Linked DNA regions of Arabidopsis thaliana. The protein of the gene in region 2 purifies or fractionates together with the protein of the main gene of each other region. This does not show direct contact. Each region holds a gene or a part of one and is shown on either strand. Other genes may lie near its edges.

Region 1 (3,919 bases), on a different chromosome or scaffold from region 2:
GGCTATGGAATTATACAGAGCAATGTGGGACACCAGAAGAAACCCGGATGTTAAAATCTGCAATAACGTTATTGATGCTTTGTGTTTCAAGAAGAGAATCCCTGAGGCTCTTGAAGTATTCAGGGAGATTAGTGAGAAAGGTCCCGACCCGAATGTTGTGACGTATAACTCACTTTTGAAGCATCTCTGCAAGATAAGGAGAACTGAGAAAGTTTGGGAGCTAGTGGAAGAGATGGAACTTAAAGGTGGTAGTTGTTCGCCTAACGATGTGACATTCAGTTACTTGCTCAAGTATTCGCAGAGATCGAAGGATGTTGACATAGTTTTGGAAAGGATGGCAAAGAACAAGTGTGAAATGACAAGCGATTTGTACAATTTGATGTTTAGGTTATATGTGCAATGGGACAAGGAAGAGAAAGTGAGAGAGATATGGAGTGAGATGGAGAGAAGTGGATTAGGACCAGATCAGAGAACATATACTATTAGGATTCATGGTCTGCACACAAAGGGGAAAATTGGAGAAGCATTGAGTTACTTTCAAGAGATGATGTCAAAAGGAATGGTACCAGAGCCAAGAACTGAGATGTTACTGAACCAGAACAAGACCAAGCCAAGAGTAGAAGACAAAATGCTTAGATCGAACTTAACAAGCGAAGAGTCTGAAAGCGACTAAATGTACATTATAAAGAAACAGATTTTGATTTTGAAAGATCTAGTAACAAAAACAAATTTCCGTTATCCCCATGTTCTTATGCAGCCATGGGCACAGCTTCTGATGGTGCTGCAGCAGCTGCGTCTGGGACGTACCAACCATGGTGAATTTCAACGGCTTTTTTCCTCCTAGCCAATCGAGACTTCCTACGGGCACCAGTGTTCTTGTGTAGTGCTTTAACCTTCACTGCTTTGTCAATTGCAGAATAAGCCTCTCCTATCAGTTTCTCCACCGTCACAATCTCATCAGCTTGCGCATCAGTTTTCTTCTTGAGCCCCTCAAGTGCTTCCAAGACCTGTTTACTCAAATGAATTTTACTCTCATCTTGCATGTATGTAAAAAAGTTACTTACAACATTTATAAGTCTTAGTTGTCGAGGATAATGAGATGTTCTAAACTATCAAGACTTTTAAAGTTCTCCCAAGTTCTAATAACAACATGAAACCGTCTCAACAGCTTCCACTTGAGTTCCATTTTTCGATAAATCGGTTGCAAACAATGATAACTAATCCACCTACTTGGATTCCAATGTTCAGTGTTGTTCATAGGTTGCTACAAGAATTCACAAGGAGAAACATTCCCTGATATATTTCCACCTAACTTATCACTAAGACTTCAGAGGAACAGCATTACAAGCTTATCAACAATCTTGTATCCTATCTTCAAACAGAAGCTCAAATTTTCAAAAGCACTCCAACATATTTTCACAGAAAGTATGAAGTTTACAACATTACCTTCTTCATCCGGGTACGGGCTTCAGATTTCTTAGATTTGTTGTAAACACGCCTCTTCTCAGCTTGGCGAGCTCTCTTTGCAGCTGAATCAGCTTTCTTGGTAGGAGCAGCAGCCTCACACACAATCAATTGCCTCATTGGCTTCTGTACCCACAAATTCCCTGTCCAAACATGTATATTTCAGTTCCAAAACCCCTAAAATTTTGACACTAGCGAAAGCATAAGAAAACGAATGGATTCAAAATGCCGATAACATTTCAATAATTCTCCATGACCAGGATGAAATTCACGATTCTGAAGTAGGGTTTACCGGTTGAGAAGGCGACGCATTGAGAAACGCTCTGAGAGAAGCTAAGGGAAGAGGATAAGGTAGCCGAAGCACCACGACGATTGGAGAAGGAAGAAGATGGTGACGAACAAGAGATTCCCTTAAGCGAAAGGACTTTGAATTGGGATTCGAGGGTCGCACAGGAAGAAAGACACTGCACTATCGTCGCCATCGATTTCTACAAGCTTCCTCTTCTCTCTTCTCTGCTCTTTCTCCCTCTGTTAGTAAAGAGTAATGGCTCCATTTCGAACCAGTGTTATCCATAAAGGAAGAGATGATGTCTGGAAACGCAATTACTATATTACCCTTGGTTTATCGTCTTAACTCCAGTTTAGCCCAGTGTTTTGGATCTCCCGCGTGGGCTAATGGCAAACGATGAGAAACGGACCAAACTCGTTATTCCTTTTTTTCTTTGATTAAGTTCAACACTAAAAATTAAAGAACACAAATTTCAACCGCCAAAACGTTTACTCCTAGCCTTCGTTGTTTATAGAAAGAACTAAAGTTTACTTATCGAACAGCCAGAGAAGATATAAAAAACTTTGGTTAACAAAGAAGTTTTAACTTTTTTTCTTTAGTTGTCTTTAAAATCCTTCGCCTGTCATTACTTCTGGTCGTGCGCCTCTGTGCTTCTTCGACATATATGGTCCACTTCGAACAGCTTCTTGCAACTGCAACAAATGTCAAACATGTCATCAGCAAGTAAAAGTACAACATCAAAGAAAAGCCTTTTCGAAACTTCCATCTTAAAGAGCGCAGAGGAAAAGTATGGAACCTTGTCACCGGTTTTTAGACGACGAGGGTCATCAACAAAGTTACTACACAAGAACGCTTCGTGAATTGCTTTGCAGCAGTTATACCTTGCTTCCATTGCTGAGTAAAAAAAAAATGAGATTTAGACTCGTAGATCAAAGAGGTTGAGGGAGGAAGAAGCCAATACAATGGCTGGAGTGTGGGTGATGCGAGGAATGTTACTTGGTTTACCTATTTTTGCAGTTTCAGTGGTTGCATCCGTAACTATGTTTATTATCTCTTCTTTGGCCAAGATTTCCACCAGGCACCATGGCCGAGCCACTAATGCTGTTAACGTTCGATAACCCTGCAAACAACATTGTAAACAATATACTATAAGCAAAAAACATAGTTACCTCTAGGCAATGCGTGAAGGTCTTATGTGAGATCAAATGAGTGACATGTATCCGAGTTTTGTGTAGAAGGACAAAAGAGATTTCTTAATTTTGAATGAAATGTAGTGTGTCATTTTGAAATTTCCAACTAGAGAAACAAAGGGGGAGAAGATATGATAGATCAGATGCTGAGTTAAAGGTTTACCGCAAGACGAATCTCTGAGCTTTGTTGAAGAACTGAGAGGAATAAACCCTGCAATTTGTGCGACATGCTTAAATTAGCTCATGCTACGGATCAAACAAAAATATGTAATCTGCACACTTCTGAGAGAAGAATAAGTAAAAGAGGAAACGAACTTACGGATGGGGTTAGTTTTGTGCTCTGTGCTGCAGCGTCGTATATCAAACATCTAAGGCTTTCTTCAGCTTTTCCATCAACTATTCTGTTGCTCTTAGGTCGTGTTTCACCTGCGATGTTTGCCAGTGCATGCAGTGCAGCCTGCACATGCCATTTACGAAACAATCATATAATTTCATGAATGTCTCTACTAATGAAGCAAAATTTCAACCCTCAATAGTTAGAATTAGAAATCCTAAAACTGGAAAAATTGGATCTTCAAAAATGTAGTAAGAGCATATAATCGGCAGAATTTCAATTGATGAGAAGCAAAAACACACTAACCAACTGTTTTCCATGTGCATTACGATCAAAGGCAGAAGCTACAACATGTCTTGCAGCTGGAGGTGAAGTTGAAAGGACAAGATCCGCTCCCTTCGTTGCTAAGATTATTGTAAAAATATCCATATAAGTTACAAGATCATTGCATGGGAAACGAATATCTTGTCGGATGCTCTTATAATTCATAATTCTAAATGTATGGCCTCTCTAGCTATCTCTTTTAGAAGACGACTGCAACAAACAAAGTTTCAAAGAAAAGTGACCCACTTACTTGATCCCATCTGACCAAGTGCATCAATGGCAGCTTCCTGTGCATCAGTATCATTCATCTCAACTGAC
Region 2 (2,799 bases):
TACAGATTAAGAGCTAGGAATAGATAGTACCTCTCTTTTCTCCCTTTCAAAAATGAAAACAAAAGAAAATTCAAATGATTGAAGTTTTTTTATTTGGAATCGTCTTAGGTCTAATTCCTATTACTTTGGCTGGATTATTCGTAACTGCTTATTTACAATACAGACGTGGTGATCAGTTGGACTTTTAATTAATTAACATCTCGTTTTTTTACTAACCTCCTTCTTGCTTTCCTATGCGGGAGGTCTAATTCAGACTGCTGCTCAGTAATTTGTGAACAGTGGAATTTTGATACAATCTATGAAATCACGCTCTGTAGGATTTGAACCTACGACATTGGGTTTTGGAGACCCACGTTCTACCGAACTGAACTAAGAGCGTTTTTCTTTTTTTTTTTTTCTAAAAAACGAAAAGGCTAGAAAGAGGGCATTCTTTAACCCGACTCGATTTTGTACGTATATACTATATCATACATAGTATATCATAAATTTCAGAATTAAATGTATGTCCGATAAAAAAAATTGATCAAAATAGATACCTCGTTACTGCTCTTCTGAGCAGTAATAGGTAGGGATGACAGGATTTGAACCCGTGACATTTTGTACCCAAAACAAACGCGCTACCAAGCTGCGCTACATCCCTTTCAATAGGTTTACAGTGTCATTGTAGAGAATTCCTGTCTTGTTTTCCACATCCTCCTTCTTTTTTATTGGTATATCAAATTCATTTCTTCTTTTTTTCTCATATCAGATAACAAAGATATAATTAAAAAATTTACTTTTTTTTTTTTTTTTATTCTCTCAATTTTACATAAATAGGCCTTTACGTTTTCAAATGGAATCGATAAGATCGTTCTAGTCGACAATATTAAAATTCTAATTTTGAAAGCGGGGGGACGGAAGTTACATATACAAATACAAGAACTTCTTAATTACATGTACATCTGTAATTATATATATTACTATATATAATGTAATACAATAAAGAAGAAAGAAGGAGGATTTCTAATGCGAGATCTAAAAACATATCTTTCCGTAGCACCGGTACTAAGTACTCTATGGTTCGGTTCGTTAGCAGGTTTATTAATAGAGATTAATCGTTTATTTCCAGATGCATTAACATTTCCCTTTTTTTCATTCTAGTTATTAACATCAGAAAGGGGTGAAAAATTTAGAGATACAATCAACAATCGGGGACTAACCCCCCCACCTTTTCTAATTAGTAGAATAAATTAGAAAAGGTGGGGGGGGGGGGGAAAGGTCATAAAAACGAGGGTTCAGGATCCAATGAAATTAGTAATAGAACGAAAAAAAGTGTTGCTAGGGAACCTATCAGATACTTAAAAAAACTACTGTACAAAGATTTTAAATATAGTTTTCACAAAATCATAAATCATTGTATTACTTATTTTTTTTATTTAATTACTAATAAATAAAATATTAATTGTAACGAAATATTTCAGAATTTTTTTTAGTTAACAGCTTCTATTTTTTTTGTTCTTGTTCTTTCTGGATCCTAAAATTAAAATAGAAGATTGAGGTGAATCATAAATCCAAAGGAGGTTTCATGGCCAAGGGTAAAGATGTTCGAGTAACAATTATTTTGGAATGTACCAGTTGTGTTCGAAATGATATTAAGAAAGAAGCCGCGGGAATTTCCAGATATATTACTCAAAAGAATCGGCATAACACCCCTAGTCGATTGGAATTGAGAAAATTCTGTCCCTATTGTTATAAACATACAATTCACGGGGAAATCAAGAAATAGATCAAATTGAGTGCTTGTATGTCAACTTTTATTTTAAGAACAGGAATAATGCTAGTATCTATATATTATTACATATATATAAATATAAACAAATAAATCAATAGAAAGAAATCTAATCCGATATTCTTAATTCTATATAGAAATTCTATCCTATATAGAAATAGAAATCGTTTTTATTTTGATCCGATCAAAATAGGATTTTAGAGATAAGGAATAAAAATAAAAATTATGAATAAATCTAAGCGACTTTTTACTAAATCCAAGCGATCTTTTCGTAGGCGTTTGCCCCCGATCCAATCGGGGGATCGAATTGATTATAGAAACATGAGTTTAATTAGTCGATTTATTAGTGAACAAGGAAAAATATTATCTAGACGGGTGAATAGAGTGACTTTAAAACAACAACGATTAATCACTATTGCTATAAAACAAGCTCGTATTTTATCTTTGTTACCTTTTCTTAATAATCAGAAACAATTTGAAAGAAGTGAGTCGACTCCTAGAACTACTAGTCTTAGAACCAGAAAAAAATAGACTTATTTTTCAATTGAATAACAATTCCAATCTGAAGGAATTAAAAAAGAGATTAATGTTTTGTTCAAAAAATCCAATCAAGAATAAAAATTTGATTGTTACGTCTGTGTCTATTATAAAAAAAAAAAGAAAAGAATCGTCGAAAAGCATAACTCGTTTTTTCGAAACTATATACTCTCGTTTTGTTTTGACGACTTTTTTTTTAATACTAATTTCTACTCTACCTTCCCCGAGCTCATTCTCCTTAGAACTCTATTTCAAATATTTTCGTGGATTTCTTCCAATCCCCTTATTTTTTTATGTCATTCGAAATTGTATAAAGACAACTCCTATTTAATAGAGCTATTTGTGCAAGTATTTTCCGATTAAGAAGTAATTGCTTCTTGTATAGATTGTGTATGAATTCATTATAACTATAGAATACCCCCATTTCGTGAATTACGGCATTTATTCGAGTGATCCATAAACGGCGAAAATCTCTTTTTCTTTTACCCCTATCC
Region 3 (3,800 bases), on a different chromosome or scaffold from region 2:
GCACATCAGAATGTTGTCCAGCTAGATTCTGGAGCTTGTTCTGTGAATCAAACACATAACAGTTACAAAAAAATCTCCACAGAAACTATAAAATGACGAAACGCCCAAATTACATGTTCCTCTTCAAGTATAATGCAAATCGATATAAGAAGAGATAGAGAAACTCACCTTAAGAGCGTTGACAAGACCAGCTCGATCCTCATCTTTAAGAGCTGCAAACAAACAAAAAAGCTTCTAAAACTTTGACTAAGAAGAAGCAAAGCCGCAGAAACAAAATCGGAGATATAGATTTACCAGAAGTGAGATCGCTGACATTGAAACTGTCCTTATCGTTGCTCATTTTCTGGAAATTTAGAGATCAAAACTGAAAGATTTGAGAAGAAAAAGGATTGATTGAGAGAGAGTGTGAAGAAGGTTTGAAAAGAGGTGGAGAGATTGAGGAAGAAGAAGAAGACTTGAGGGTTTTTTCTGGGTGGCGACTAAACGCAAAACGTGGCTTCCTCCTTTATAAAATTTAAACCTAACAACTGCCATTCTTTTTTTTTTAATTCCCTCGCTGGCATTTTTATTTACTTTTTCATTTTTTAAAATCTAAAATATCCCAATGCAAAATATGTGCCGTTTCTGCAAAAAGTGCCAAACACCTTGCCGTTTATCGCCAAACAAAGGAAACAAGTCAGTTGTCTAATGCTGCATTACACAATATAATCGACAACAAAGTGAACTTGAAAAGCTACGATGACAGAAGGCTAATGAATCATGCACTCTTGGCTTCTGTATCCTCTTCCTTAGGCTGGTTATCATTGGCATTAACTGTTTTATTCTCTGCATCCACATAGCGACCAGTCATCGGATCAACTGGGCGTGTGTCTCGTGCTCCACCTTTACGTCCCATAGCCACCATTGGAGGAGGAGGAAGTAAACCGGATCTGAATAGGAGACGTTGAACCGGGTCTGATGGCTGAGCACCAACAGATAACCAGTACCTGTACAGAACAAGAGAATCAAACAAAATGTCCATTAATCAAACTATATGCATCCTCTGTTGAAACTAGTCATTCAGAACAAAAGAAAGACAGACCAGGATCTAACTTTTAAGTAGTCTTGACATGTGTTCTTCTAATATCCGGACATTATAATCTTAATTTTAGATGATGATAAAGAGCATGACAAGATTCTAAAGCTACATGACCATACAATTATGCAAAAGAGGTTGTATATGGTGAACAATTAAGAATGTAAGTAAGTGTGTATACGAATAGATAATCAACAGGTTCTTCATCTTACACTAATAAGAAACAATTCCAGAACTCAGAGCAGAAGTTCCATAGAAAGACTCAAGACTGGCGGAGAAGTTTCATTTGTTATATAACAAAACTTGTTGATGAATTTCCACAAATATTTCAGTTTTTCCTTTCATAAGTTAGTGATTAAATGAGGTAGAAAATTGCTTCAACTAATGGTTCAATACCATGAAGAGAAAGAAAGTGATCAAAACCAACCATGGGAAACATGTAGATTCATTCGCCTTTCGATAACAAAAACCATTCAAAGACTGAACTCAGCTCCTTTGTATCAGATCGAAAGATAGTTAACTATAACACAATGTTGACTATACAACAATGCATTAAGATATCTAGAGGCGGCTAGAAGCTAACTTTAGCAATTAACCAAAACACTTCAAATGCAGAAAAGCCTTAATCATCTAGTGAAGCATTCAGAGACCTCTTTCTGAGTAAATTCAACCCAAAACCTACCTGATTTTACCGAAAAAAACATAAGAAACTAGAGAATTAGATGAGAAGAAACATACTTAATTCGATCGAACTTGAGACCCATCCTCTTACCACCGTCCTGGCCTGAACACATAGACCAAGAGATCGTGTATTTTAATCGAAAACTCTACGAACAACACCAATTGGAATACATTTTGTTTTGTCAATCACCTGGCAAAGGATTGAAGTAACCTAAGACCTCAAGATGCTTCCCGTCTCTTGGAGATCTGCTATCAGCAGCCATAACCCTAAAAAATGGCCGATTTTTGCATCCAAATCTCGACAGTCTGATACGTACAACCATGTTTCTCCTCCCTTTTCACCGGAAAAAAATCGAAATGATCAGAGCTGGCTAAGAGAGATAGAGAGAGTGAGAAATTCCAATTTCGAAAACTCTGAATCCATAAATCTTTTAGGGTTTGGATCCTTATTACGACGCCGTTTGTTGAAGGATTCATTGGGCCTACAAAATCAGGAAGCCCATTAACATCAAAGATGATACAAGCCCAATAAAGATTTTTAAATCGTCCACCGCCACAAGACGGCCTTTCTCCGGCGAAAGACAAGCCGAAGTTGAGCCTATCGGTACTGGTTGAGATTATTCTCCGGCGGAGACAATGGAATCTTCCGTCGCTCCGTTTCCTCACCGACGCACGCATCTGCCGAATCGAAATTATCGCTCTTTGCTTTATCACTTTTGCTCGAGTTTCGATCGGGAGCCTCAAATTTCTCTTGCCACACCGGCAGTTCTCCAGGAGCTGGTCTTACGAACAGGTCAGTGTTCGATTCGAAGTCAAAGTTCTTAGGAATGATTAATTCATCTTCTAGTAATCAAAATTCAAAGTTCATCTGTTGCTTGAAATTGCCTGAAACTATTTCTGATGCTATTTGTGTTTTCTTACATAGAAATTGCTCAAGAGTCTCCGGGAGAAACTTGCGAACCGCCGGAGAATTTATCAATTACGGAATCAAAACTCAATGGAGTGTCTGGTGATTCAAGTGGTGAGAAGGTGGAAACAATTTCACAGGAAAAGAGTTTGATGCTTGGAGATATTTGTGATGGAATTGACTTGCAAGATGCATCTGTTGTTAGTAGACACACAGATTTTTTCGATAGCTTTGAGCTTATGATTAATGAAACTCAAGATTCTGTTCCAGAAAGTTGTGTGAATCTCTTTGAGGCATTGGATGTGAATGACTATGACATTGTCCAAAATGTCCTGGAGAAGCCTAATATTGCAACTCAAGTTCAAGTAGATCCAGTTGAAAGTGAGAAAAAGGCAGAGGAGGTTCCTAAATCTGTTGAATCTAATGAGGTTATAAGTTCTGGAGTTTTGGAAGCTTGTAATGGAACAGTTCAAAGAGAGATGGAATTAGAGAAACCTGTTGATAATAGTCCGGTTTTGGTAGATTCTGTGTCTCGGATAGTTGGAGGTGATGATGTAGAAGAAGGAGAGATATCAGGGGATGATAATGATGATATGCTTGTAGAAGATGATGAAACAGTCGAAAGACATGAGGAGTATCAGGTCTCACAAGATGGAACTGGTAATAGCCATCTCACTAGTCATAAGAGTTTTGGTGTTGAGGTAATGAATGTAGATAATCAAGCCAAGAAGATTGATCAAACTTTCAGTAACGAAGCAAAGGTATCCAATATTAAAGAATCTTGTTATGTTATGTTGCTTAGGTGTTAATAAAATCTGACTTGTATTTTAACTTGCAGATGGATCCTGGAACCTCCATCAAAAAAAGGTCTGCGCCTTCTAAGGATGCAAAAGCCAGAAAGAGGGTAATGTAGTGTATGCATTTCTTTGACATATTACGGGGATATCTTACAATCATTTTGTGTGTGGAGTAAGATGTTTACTTACTGATAAGCTATTTCATGCAGGCAAAAGCTAGGATAAAAAGAGCTCAAGAGCGTATAGCCCTTGGCGTGAAAAAGCTGAAACTGAAACCAGTAGCTCCAAAACCAAAGCCTATCAAGTATTGTCGACACTATCTCAAGGGGCGGTGCCATGA

The links. Proteins that work in one complex are often made in the same cells at the same time.
Region 1: the proteins of rps18 (region 2) and PRPS20 fractionate together in Arabidopsis thaliana (co-fractionation; one large-scale study listed by BioGRID). This does not show direct contact.
Region 3: the proteins of rps18 (region 2) and AT5G56940 fractionate together in Arabidopsis thaliana (co-fractionation; one large-scale study listed by BioGRID). This does not show direct contact.

The regions. Positions count from the first base shown.
Region 1 is NC_003074.8:5,114,243-5,118,161, reverse strand, and holds PRPS20 (chloroplast 30S ribosomal protein S20), read right to left. Parts: upstream 2,142-3,919; 5' UTR 1,947-2,141; coding exon 1,757-1,946; intron 1,608-1,756; coding exon 1,447-1,607; exon of another isoform or gene 1,008-1,446; coding exon 750-1,007; 3' UTR 674-749; downstream 1-673. Other genes in the region: AT3G15200 (Tetratricopeptide repeat (TPR)-like superfamily protein), read left to right, coding at 1-673; AT3G15180 (ARM repeat superfamily protein), read right to left, coding at 2,359-2,445, 2,550-2,647, 2,759-2,873, 3,107-3,154, 3,263-3,400, 3,584-3,681, 3,852-3,919.
Region 2 is NC_000932.1:65,924-68,722, forward strand, and holds rps18 (ribosomal protein S18), read left to right. Parts: upstream 1-1,993; coding exon 1,994-2,299; downstream 2,300-2,799. Other genes in the region: petG (cytochrome b6/f complex subunit V), read left to right, coding at 75-188; psaJ (photosystem I subunit IX), read left to right, coding at 1,006-1,140; rpl33 (ribosomal protein L33), read left to right, coding at 1,565-1,765; rpl20 (ribosomal protein L20), read right to left, coding at 2,589-2,799.
Region 3 is NC_003076.8:23,029,158-23,032,957, reverse strand, and holds AT5G56940 (Ribosomal protein S16 family protein), read right to left. Parts: upstream 2,212-3,800; 5' UTR 2,080-2,211; coding exon 1,947-2,079; intron 1,860-1,946; coding exon 1,814-1,859; intron 987-1,813; coding exon 758-986; 3' UTR 547-757; downstream 1-546. Other genes in the region: NAP1;3 (nucleosome assembly protein 1;3), read right to left, coding at 1-40, 169-212, 295-340; EMB1789 (CCCH-type zinc finger family protein), read left to right, coding at 2,393-2,549, 2,682-3,424, 3,502-3,567, 3,670-3,800.